Linked DNA regions of Canis lupus familiaris. The protein of the gene in region 1 purifies or fractionates together with the protein of each later gene. This does not show direct contact. Links are inferred from orthologs where the notes say so. Each region holds a gene or a part of one and is shown in the gene's direction. Other genes may lie near its edges.

Evidence for each region. Proteins that work in one complex are often made in the same cells at the same time.
Region 2: the proteins of ACTL6A (region 1) and BRD8 fractionate together in Homo sapiens (co-fractionation; 4 studies listed by BioGRID and IntAct, with this or other methods). This does not show direct contact. The link is inferred for Canis lupus familiaris from reciprocal best matches to the Homo sapiens genes ACTL6A and BRD8.
Region 3: the proteins of ACTL6A (region 1) and DPF3 purify together in Homo sapiens (affinity purification with mass spectrometry; 4 studies listed by BioGRID and IntAct, counting the BioPlex papers as one, with this or other methods). This does not show direct contact. The link is inferred for Canis lupus familiaris from reciprocal best matches to the Homo sapiens genes ACTL6A and DPF3.

Annotation. Positions count from the first base shown.
Region 1 is NC_049255.1:13,131,557-13,135,721, forward strand, and holds the start of ACTL6A (actin-like protein 6A), read left to right. Parts: upstream 1-1,351; 5' UTR 1,352-1,603; intron 1,604-1,721; 5' UTR 1,722-1,737; coding exon 1,738-1,834; exon of another isoform or gene 1,835-1,972; intron 1,973-4,165.
Region 2 is NC_049232.1:25,855,995-25,859,510, reverse strand, and holds part of BRD8 (bromodomain-containing protein 8), read left to right. Parts: coding exon 1-170; intron 171-509; coding exon 510-962; intron 963-1,280; coding exon 1,281-1,374; intron 1,375-1,575; coding exon 1,576-1,622; intron 1,623-2,381; coding exon 2,382-2,596; intron 2,597-2,777; coding exon 2,778-2,870; intron 2,871-3,058; coding exon 3,059-3,127; intron 3,128-3,487; coding exon 3,488-3,516. UniProt on the Homo sapiens protein: May act as a coactivator during transcriptional activation by hormone-activated nuclear receptors (NR). Isoform 2 stimulates transcriptional activation by AR/DHTR, ESR1/NR3A1, RXRA/NR2B1 and THRB/ERBA2.
Region 3 is NC_049229.1:46,326,616-46,330,131, reverse strand, and holds part of DPF3 (zinc finger protein DPF3), read left to right. Parts: intron 1-1,638; coding exon 1,639-1,720; intron 1,721-2,237; coding exon 2,238-2,308; 3' UTR 2,309-3,516. UniProt on the Homo sapiens protein: Belongs to the neuron-specific chromatin remodeling complex (nBAF complex).

The DNA of each region.
Region 1 (4,165 bases):
TCCTGGAGACCCGGGATCGAGTCCCACGTCGGGCTCTCGGTGCATGGAGCCTGCTTCTCCCTCTGCCTGTGTCTCTGCCTCTCTCTCTGTGACTATCATAAATAAATAAAAATTAAAAAAAATAAATAAATAAAGTGGTCCTTAAATTTAGTTGGGGGAAAGTGTATAGTACATCACCTTTTAGTCATTAATAAGCACTTTAAAAATTTCAGGATCCTACCGGTTTATCTGATTTACTGTCCCCCGACCCCAAAGTTGAGCATACTATTTTTTTTAACATAAAAGGTGGCTGAAAATACTTTTTTCCGGGGTGTGAAAAAAGTTCTGCAGTCTCCAGAGTCCGAAACTCGGCTCGCTGCGCGGACACGCCGTTTCTAGGCTGTTTCCCGGGGGCTTGCGTTCGCCGCCGGCGCCTCACGGGCTCCCGCGCGCCCCGCCTGCCTCCGCGAGCCCCCCCCGCCCGCCGCGCCGGCCGCCGCGCCTCCCGCCCACTCGGGGAGCTCCGCCCAGCCCCCCTCCCTCCCGCGCCCGGGGCCAGTTCCGCAACCCAACTCCTTCCCTCCTTCCGTCGCTCTCCCCTTTCCCCGCCTCCATGGCTGCCTCCGATTGGCTGAGCTGGCCGTGCCGCGGCGGGGATGCAGCGCAGCCTCCTTCTGATTGGCTAAGGCGTCCCCGGCCCTCCCGTGATTGGCTGGTAGGAGCAGACAGCAAGTGTGGCTGAGCTCCGCGGTGTGTGGACGCTGCTTTGTTGCCCGAGGGGGGTGGCGGTGGAAGTTCGGGGCTAGGGGCTGGTGCTTCTCGGGACCCGCGCTCGCGGCCGTCGCAGTCGCTTCGCCCGGTAGCCTGTAGCGTAGGAGTCGCGCGGACAGCAGCCATGAGCGGCGGGGTGTACGGGGGAGGTGAGTGAGTGCGGCCGGACGGGAGAGCGCGCCTTTTCAGCGTGCGGGGTCTGTGACCGCCGCCCCCAAGCCTCCCCTCCCCGGCGGCCCCTTCCGGCCTCCCCCGCTGGGACCCCGGCCTCCCCGCCCCGTCCCCGCCCCGCGCTCTGCCCGCCCCCGCCGCCCGCAGCCCGCAGCCCGCAGCCCGCCCGGCGCCGCGACCGCTCCCGCGGTCCCTCCCGCGGTCCCTCCCGCGGTCCCTCCCAGCCCCGGCGCCCGGGGGAGCGCGGCTTTCGGGGTGCACGGCGGCCGCGGGCTGGGCGGGCGTTCCGTCCTGGGGGCCGGCCCGCAGAGCCCCGGCGGGAGCGGCCGGCTGCGGGCTCGCGTCCTGCGGGGAGTCTCGGGAACCCGGCTCCGTCGGGGCGCGCGCCGGTTTAAACTCGGGAGGTCCCGGCAGTTGGCAGGCGCGGACCGAGGGTTTCCGCAGCGTCCCCGAGGGCCAGGCGAGCGGCGGGGGGTGCGGGCCTCGGGACGCCCAGCTGCCTCACAGCTGCCTGTCGGCTGACTGGGCTCTCAGGGTGACTCGTGGGGACACCTGTGGCTTAAAGACCTCGTCCCTGGCGGGGGCTGTGGTGGGCTGGAAGGGTCCGCACGGGCCTGGGAGTTCCACAGACCTGGCTGCCTGTACTTCCAGCCTATTTAGTGAGCGCGTTGGCCTTGGCTAAGTAAGTTCACTTAGCTTTTCCCAACTTCGGGGCCCCGCATTTTGGGAACGACAATCCCCACCCAGTGGGGGTGGGCTTGAAGGTTCGGTGAGCTGAGCTAACGGTGCACTTGCTGCAGAAAGTGTGGTCCCTGGATGAGCAGCGTCAGCATCACCTGCGAGCTTTTTAGAAATGCAGAACCTCGAGCCCCCTCTACGCATACTGAATCGAGCTTTCATTCTTGCTACATAGGTAGGAGGCACTGGTGTATCTGATTCTGGTCTGTGCTGTGTTTGATGAGTTTGGAAAAAGAGGAGACAGATCTAAAGTGTTGCTTTTGTTATCGTGTCTAGTAAGGTTAGTGTTTCTGAAGAAGTTGGCATTTTACAGGTAAGGGATAGAAATGAGGTTCTCAAAGTTCTTGATTTTTGGAATGTAGCAGGAGTTTCTTTGGGGCAATATGCTGACCCCTCCTCCCATTCTTCTCTGTATATATTCTGGGTTTTGATTTCTCAAATGTGAGAGGCAGTAGTTGTCCCATTTTTACTTTGGAGAAAGCCTAGTGAATCTTCATGATTTACCTCCTTTCCATCTGAAGATGCAATCTTGACCCAAAAAGTGGATCTTTGTGTCTCATGGAGGCTGACTCTATTTTGACCTTTAGGTTCACTGATCCAAGTACCTAGACGCTGTCCATGATTATTTCCTTAGAAGGCATTGTTGACTATGACTGAGATAGAGGTGGATACTTATAATGCCAGCAGCAAACATTTATTGAATGCATACTTTGTACTAAGAACTGTTCCAGAGACTTTTCATGTGTTGCACTAATATGTGTATTAACTCAATCTGCAGCAGCCATAGGAAATGGTACTGCTAACTCCATATTATGGAATAAGAAAATAAGGTATGGAAAAGTTTAAGCAACTGGCCCAGAGTTACATAACTTCCTAATAAGGGTGAACAAGAATCTCTGGGATGAAGAAAAAGGCATTTCAATAAAACCCTTTCCCATCTTAAAACTAAAAAGTTTTTTGGTTGTTTCTCCATAAGTCATTTTTCAATTATATAGCGACAGCGTATTCATGTATGGTTTAGGTATTCACAATAAACATCCTGTGTCTCATTTGCTTATGGAGAGGAATATGTCTTAAAGCCTATTTCACATATAAGGTATTTAAAGCTCACAAAAATAAGTGTATGATTTTGTGTTTGAGTTACCCCTGTATGGCCAGTATTTATAGTGGGTCACATTTTCCAAAGGGTGTATGGTGAAAAGAAACCAAACCTCCCACCTAGGTTTTGTGTAATTAATTAGTAAGTTTTATTTTTAACTTGCTTGCTTATTTAAAAGACCTTTGCAGTTTAAATTTTAAAGTTTATGGCTATCTTATTCTAATAAAGATTTCTGACTAGATCTGACACTGATCTTTAGCTTTGAGTATAATGCATAATTCATTATAGAAAGATTTCTGTACTTTCTACCTGGTTTCCAGGCCTACTCATTGCTCCTAGGACCATGTTTCCATGGTTCTCCTTTATTTCAACCTTACATTATAAAAATAAATAGACCAACTTTGATAAATTGTGTTTCATCGTTCCTGCACCTGTTACCCCCAAATCTCTAACCTTAAAAATTTCTCAGAACCATCATCCCCATAAGCACCTTTGTCCAAACAAAAAAATAAAACGACCTTCCCACTTTCTCCCAAAGTCATTTGCCTTCAGTATCACATTGGAATGTTTTAAGACCTGGTTAGAAAATTGCCACCATTGCTTCATGTTTTCCCAGAGAAATTACCACACCTCTAAACTTGGAAGCCATAGGAAAAACATCAACATCCTCAGAAAAGTGAAAACAGTGTTTTAAGTAGCAAAGGGATCCAACTCTTAAGAATTTTTATCTATTGGAAACTGTATCCCGGTTTTTATATATCTGGACCTCTGCGGTTATGGTTTAAGCTTTCTATCTCCCTTTGCCATTCTCCTATTTTGGGTTCATTGGTACTTAATTTTTAACAAAACCAGGTACAGGAAATAAACCCATTTCTCATCCTTTGAAAAAGGAAAATAAGCAGATGCAAAATTCCAAGAATCAAGAGTCTCACTCAGATTAAAATTCTATGTCTAGTTTGAAAAAAAAAAAAAGAGAGAGAGAGAGAGAGAAAATAGTTTGCCATCTAATTAGGACAGAAACATAATTGATTTGTTGAATTTTTCATTTCATAAAATGTTTTTTAATGCTCGCTATGTGCCAGGCAGGTATAGCCTCTGCCTCCGAGAAGCTCAGTTTTACAGGTAGGTGAGTCAGTCACATAGACACTATATTGTATTTAGTTTTAGTCATACATTTCCCCTCCATATTTAAAGAGCTGAAGTTGGAATATTTCTCCTTTTTCTGGGGAGGTTTTTCTATTTTACATAATTAAAATAATTTAATTCCAATCTAATTGACATGGAATATTTCTTTTTTTTTTTTTTAATTTTTATTATTTATGATAGTCACACACAGAGAGAGAGAGAGAGAGAGAGGCGCAGAGACATAGGCAGAGGGAGAAGCAGGCTCCATGCACCAGGAGCCCG
Region 2 (3,516 bases), on another chromosome or scaffold:
AGTGTTTCCGATCAGGGGTAGCAGAGGCCCCTGGGGGGTCAAAGGCTCCCAGCATAGATGGGAAGGAAGATTTAGATCTGGCTGAGAAGATGGATATTGCTGTGTCTTACACAGGTGAAGAGCTTGACTTTGAGACTGTTGGCGACATCATTGCCATTATTGAGGACAAGGTAACTATTCAGCAAAGCCCAAAAGAATTTCTCGTGAGTTCTGCATAGGCTTCTCTTCTCAGCTTCTTCTTGCTTCTTGTAGTAAGAATTACATAAACAGACAGTTCTGCTTCTGCCCATTTCCATCTCCTTAATCCCAAAGCCCTTTGTTGCTCACATTGGTCATCTCCCCAGCCATCCTTGTGTTTCGGTTTGCACAGGATAGGTACCTGTCCTTTGGTTGCTTCTACTACATGTAGAGGGAAGATGCAGATTGAGGCTATCTCATTTGGTGCTTATAGAATTGAGGGATTTGGGCTGCTTTTTGGGGGGACTTCAACGGTATATATTATGGTACAGGTAGATGATCATCCTGAAGTGCTGGATGTGGCAGCAGTAGAAGCGGCACTGTCATTCTGTGAAGAGAATGATGATCCCCAGTCCCTGCCTGGCCCCTGGGAGCACCCGATCCAGCAGGAGCGGGATAAGCCAGTATCTCTTCCTGCACCAGAGATGACAGTCAAGCAAGAAAGGCTGGACTTTGAGGAAACAGAAAACAAAGGAATCCATGAACTGGTAGACATCAGAGAGCCTAGTGTTGAGATTAAAATGGAACCTGCGGAACCAGAACAAGGCATCTCAGGTCCTGAAATAGTAGCTGGAGTTGTTCCAGCCCCAAGTATGGAGCCACCAGAACTCAGGAGTCAAGAGTTAGATGAGGAACCCAGAAGTATTGCCACTGGAGAGATTGCTGAAGCAGATGTTTCCAGTGGGAAAGGCGATGAGACTCCACTTACAACTGTGAAGACAGAGGTATTTAAAATCAGGGGCTGGGAGGATGAAGGGTTATACCTTAGGTAAGAGCTGACTTTTCAGGCCTTTGGTTTTCTTCTTGCATTCCTGAATTCTCACATGGTTGATACGCCCAAAGCCACAGATAAGATGATTGCTACATGTGCTTATCCTGTTCCTTTTACGGTGACCATTAGATTCCTGTTAGTCCTGTTAGGACTTAGAATTTCTTTTGTAGTCTTTTCATTGGAAAACTTAGAATTTCTTTTGTAGTCTCGTCACTGTGTAAGCTGAAGTGATGTATCTGTACTTAGGGTAATTATTCTTTTTGGTCTTCAGGCATCCCCTGAAAGCATGTTGTCTCCATCACATGGCTCCAATCCCATCGAAGATCCTTTAGAGGCAGAGACTCAGCACAAGTTTGAAATGTCAGGTAAATGATATGGCCAGGAAATCTGTTCTCTGTAACTAACTTGACATCCTTTGCTTTGGCTTCTGAGGGATTGTGGGCTGTGGGAAAGTAGAGGAGGTAGTATAGGTCAGCATGGAAAGGAGAGCTGCAGGGGATGATTGTCCATAGGAAGGGGAAGGCTGAGGTGGAAAAATCTTCAGGTAGTCTTTCTCTCCTCTGCAGACTCATTGAAAGAAGAATCAGGGACTATTTTTGGAAGCCAGATAAAGGTATTTCAGACTTTTCTTTATTCCTCTTGCTGTGTGACTAGATCTCCCAATAGCACTACCTTTTTAAAGAATTATAGTAAACGTGCATCTGATTCTCTGAGATGAGACTAGTTAAGGAGTTGCATGGAAAAAAGTTGGCAGTGGACAGTTAGGCATACTGGCAGTACTATGGCCATGTGCTTCCCATCTGAAAGAATTTGTGAACATCACACAGAGCTTTCTTTCGCACATAATGCACAACAAAGCTTTGATACTTCCAGAGTGATTTAGAGTAAATAGGGCTGCCAGAATCAGGGAGAACATAGAAGAAATCAGATTATTAATTACACTATCCAAAGAAAATTCCCTGGAATATTCTTTTTAGAATTACTAAAGTAGTGGTAACAGATTTAAAGTATTGTGATATGAGCTTGCTCCATCAGAGGAGACACAAAATAAAAACTATTTTTGATAACTTTGTACCCAGGGTCAGAGTTCCTCTCAAGAGCAAGGGGAAAGAAGGAACGCCTCTTAGCTTAGTCTTAAGTAAGTAGCTTTTTTTTTCTTCCTTTCAAGAAAAAGATCCTGGTCTTATTCTTTGTCCAGGTTCTATATTACTTGATCAGTGAGTGTACGTGGTAGTGTAAGTGATAGAGGGCTCAGTCAGGAAGCAGTGTGAGGTCATTTTCTAGAACTGATCTAATCCAAAAGACCATGTTTAATGACGCTTTGCTGGATAGCTTTGCTTGCATTTGTTGACTGGAGTACACTGTGTCTAAGGATGCCCCAGGTGAGGATGAGGAGGAAGATGGAGTCAGCGAAGCTGCCAGCCTAGAGGAGGCTAAGGAAGAAGATCAAGGAGAAGGCTATTTGTCAGAAATGGATAATGAGCCACCTGTGAGCGAGAGCGATGATGGCTTTAGCATTCACAATGCTACACTGCAGTCCCATACACTGGCAGACTCCATCCCCAGCAGCCCTGCTTCTTCACAGTTGTGAGTATCTGAGATTCTTCTTTGAGTTCAAGACCGTGAAGGTGAGAAGTAGGAGAGGATCTTTTTCTTCAGTCTTATTTTTTTCATCTTCCCTTTCTTGGCCTGGAACTAATAGTTCACAAGAAATGATAAGGATTTTTTTTGGACTTAGGCTTAGTGGGACTCCCTTCTTTTATTTCAGCTCTGTCTGTAGTGAAGATCAGGAAGCCATTCAGGCACAGAAAATCTGGAAGAAAGCTATCATGCTTGTATGGAGAGCTGCAGCTAATCATAGGTGAGTGAGCTTTACCAGTCAGTATGTTTCTCATGCTTCTTCTCAATGTTAGGAGAAAGTCTGGCTGGGTTTATATGGGATCGGTGGCTTTGACTTTTACAGCCTTCAGCTACTTAAATCAAGTTCCCTTACCTGTGCTTCTGAAGGGTAAGTCAGTAATTAATTGCACCTTACTCTTTTTTGGACAGATATGCCAATGTCTTCCTGCAGCCTGTTACAGATGATATAGCACCTGGCTACCATAGCATTGTACAGAGGTAAGCCATGATCCATTCAGCATGCTGACTTGCCTGAATTGTAAGTTGTTCAGTCTTAGTGGATTTTTGCTTTACACAGAATGTTTAAAGCAAATGTTTTTGATCTGAGTAAAAGTGGTAAATTGATCATTTCAGTGGCTGGATCACAAAAGATAGACTTCTGTTACCATTCTTAGCCAATACCTACTGTAAAAGATGCCTTGTTTTTAATTAAGTGCATGTTGTGCGGTGAGGGGTTGGTACTTCAGTCCTGGCAGCTAAGACTAAGGGCATATTTAAGAAGTCATGTATGATAATAATATATTTGGATCCAGTTGAGTCCTCTTCCCCTCCATTTACCTGTTTTTGTTTTGTTTTTAGGCCTATGGATTTGTCAACTATTAAGAAAA
Region 3 (3,516 bases), on another chromosome or scaffold:
GCTCCTGTAGATCTACTCTTTTTCCCATATCTCAATGGGTAGCTGTATCATCTGGCTTGCTGACCAAGCCACAACTTAGGGGACATTCTTGATTTCTTTGCTATCATTTTCTACATCTAATTAGTGACTTTCAAATGGGAACAAGACCCTTATCTTTTCCCCATGCCACAGCCCTAGTTTAGGACACTATCACTGCTCACCTGGATGGTGGTAGTAGCATCCTAAGTGGTCTTCCAGCCTCTAGGACCAACCTGTCTCCTCCCAACCTGCTCCTTCTTACACAGCAGCTAGGGAGATCTTTCTAAATTCCACGTGTGACCAGTCACTCCTCTGTTGCTAACTCTTCAAAAACCTTCCATTACCCTGTTGAAAGGTGTTAGTGTGATTAAAAAAAAAAAGTCTTTCATGATATCTCCTGCCTTATTGCTTGCTTGCTTCAATATCTACCTTTTCCAGGATTTCTGTGCTGAGGGGAGCCAAGGTGAGATTTGATGCAAAACTTAGTTTTGCAAAGTCTTATAAGCCATCTAGGTAGGTCCAAAGAATAGAGGAGAGCTGAACCTGGATAATGAGGAACAGATCACAAACGTGTAGCTACTGTGTGCAAGTTCTGAAGGAGATGTGGAGATGAGTTAAGACAAGGTTCTGCCCCAAGAGCCTTACAATCTGTAAAGGAGTAGACAAAGTATATTCCAAAGGAGCTATTCAAGAAAACAATTGTGTGTAGATATCTACCACATGCCAGGCTTTGAGGCATAAAGGAAAATGCAATTAAATGTCATAAGAAAGAAAGAGGACTATGGGGATGCAAGGGGGAGAGAGAACTTCCATTTGAGCTAGATTAGTGACATTTCTGTAGGACAGAAGAGCTGGAAGACTTGAAGGGTGGGTAGGGAATGGTTTAGAAGAGTAGGGGTCAGGGACTGGGAGAGCGTCCAGGCAGAGGGAACTGCAGGAGCGAAGGTGCAAACTGCAGGAGCAACATTCAACACAGAGCTAGAGGGTCCTATTCTCCCCTGGGCTTCAACCTCCAGCCCCCGAGGACGCTTTGGGGATCTGAAAGGTGGCATCACATCCCATCCATTTCTCTGTACTTGCATAATGAAACCCTGAAGAGGTTCTGAGGTGTCATAGATGTTACGGTCAAGTATAGCCATTGCCCTTTTCACAGGTGGAAAGGGTGAGGTTAGGAGGAATTCAGTTAAAATTTGCAAACATTTAAAGTACCTTCTATGCACTAGGCAATCATTATGGGGAACACAGAAGTGCATAAAAGTGGTTTTCCTCCCTTACAGAAACATAGTTATTGGTTAGGGGAGTTCAGAAGTGTAAGGAATCTCTTTAAACATGAATGTGAGACAGTAAAGGAAGGCCTCTTGGAGGAGGTATGATTTGAGCAGAACCCTAACGTGGGGATAGGGTTGGCATAGTTAGGGAGACAGAGCAGGAATTTGCAGGTGTGGGCAAAGCACAAAGCATATTCAGGGGACAGGGAAGACTGCAAATGGGGCCTGGAAAGGAGCATTCAGGGAGGTGGGTCTGCATGGGAGAGGCTGGAGGAGTAGGGGGTGGCCAGACACTGGCCCTAAATAATTCATTCTCTCTCTCCTCCTCTCCACCTACTCTGTATTCCACCAGGACCAGCTACTCTTCTGTGATGACTGTGACCGTGGCTATCACATGTACTGTTTAAATCCTCCAGTGGCTGAGCCCCCAGAAGGTAATGATGATGATGTCGACTGTAGAAACAACAGCTACCCCTATCACTTAGGGAGCCCTCACTCTCATTCAGGTCTCGTGCTAAGGCCTTTCCATGTCTTGTCTCATTCAATCATCACAACCCTATGCTACCATTTTACAGATGAGGAAATGGAGGCACAGTTCAACCCTCTGAAATTTCAGCTTGAGGACCAAGGAGATGTTTCTTGGTCATGCAGACAAAGCGGTGGGGAGGTGTCAGCTTCCAGGGGAACCAGCCCAGGCCTAGTGCTGCCAGTTATATCGCTGTCAAGGACAGTGGGGGTCTTTACAACAGTTCAGTGGATCGCCTCTGAACACTTAACTATTTTCTGAGGAGCGCTCACCCTCTGCCACGAGTTACAGACTCTGGCCCACTTTCAGGCCTGGGCCTCGGTCTCTGAACTGTGAAAGTCAAAGGAGAAACGGCACTTGCAGGAGTGAGGGCCAAGGGGTGGGGCGAAGGGCAGCTGGTAACTAGGGCATCTTGTTTCTTGTAGGAAGCTGGAGCTGCCACCTGTGCTGGGAACTGCTCAAAGAAAAAGCCTCAGCCTTCGGCTGCCAAGCCTAGGGCCCCGGGTCGCAGACTGTGACCTGCTGCTGGAGAGGCTGAGGCAGAGCCCACTTCACACCGGATCAAGTCCCCACTCCCATCTATCCAGACAGACCGACTGTAAGGAACACCCGTGGTCATGGAGGGCATGGACATGTGGAACCGAGAGGGTGAGGTGTCTGCTTACCCCCTACACGCAGGTTCCAGTACTTCTGTCAGCCCCTCCTTGCTTCCACCAGAAGGATCTTTCACGTTTGAAGAACACCCCTGGCCCCGGCCCTGTGGAACCCCCTCACATTTACCCCGGCCCTGGTTCCCATTTTAAGGGAAGCTGTTTTGTGACCACCGATCAGTCACTCACGTGTCGTTTGGTGTTTTCTATCTATTGTGTTCCAAGAAATCTTCACGCAGCCTCCCGCCTCCTGCTTCAGCTCTTTATCCTGAACTCAGCAGAGGGACAAAAGGCTGTGGAGAAGTTGTTATTTATTACCAGCCTCCCTGGAAACTTCTAGACTCGGAGTCGGGAGGCCATCTTGACGATGAAAATCCCTCTTTGTTCCTTGGTCTCTGTGAAGAAGAAAAGCGGTTTTCTGGACCCCTTGCAGATACACCTAGTGGTGTCTGCAGCCAGGGGGGTCCCCTGATGGGGCTGGCGAGGGAAGTAGAAGTGCTGAGGGGTGGGCAGAGACATTGGGAAGAAAATTCAGAGGCCCTGCCACAGCCGATCAGTAGTTGTTACCCATCGGGAGTGGCTTTGCAAGGGGTCAGGCTTTTGGGGTTCCTTGACCTTCGGAGCTGGGACATCCTTGAGGTGAGACAAGCCACAGCCTATGGCGGGGGAGGATGCTGAGGCTCTGCCTCCCAACCAGCCCGGGTCTGGAGCTTTCCCTGGTGGGACTCAAGAGCCGGGAAGGCGGGTGAAGGCTGCGCAGTCCGGAATCTGCATGTCGGCACAAAGGACTGCAGCTCTGCAAAGCCCTTCAGTACTGTTTTGGCACCACAAATTCCTTTTCCCAAGTAATTTCTCCTTCTACATGGTGTGTGTTTGCCACTGTCTACTGACACCGGACTCTGGAGATTTTAGGACGGGGAAGAGAGGATTGTCACCTAAACAAATAACGGGGTGATGGGGTGATTTATGATCACGGTGGCAACGGTACAGAATCCTCAGCTTGAGGGCTGCTCTTGCCCCCCCCACCCCCCAAACTCCCCAATTATGTGCCGGA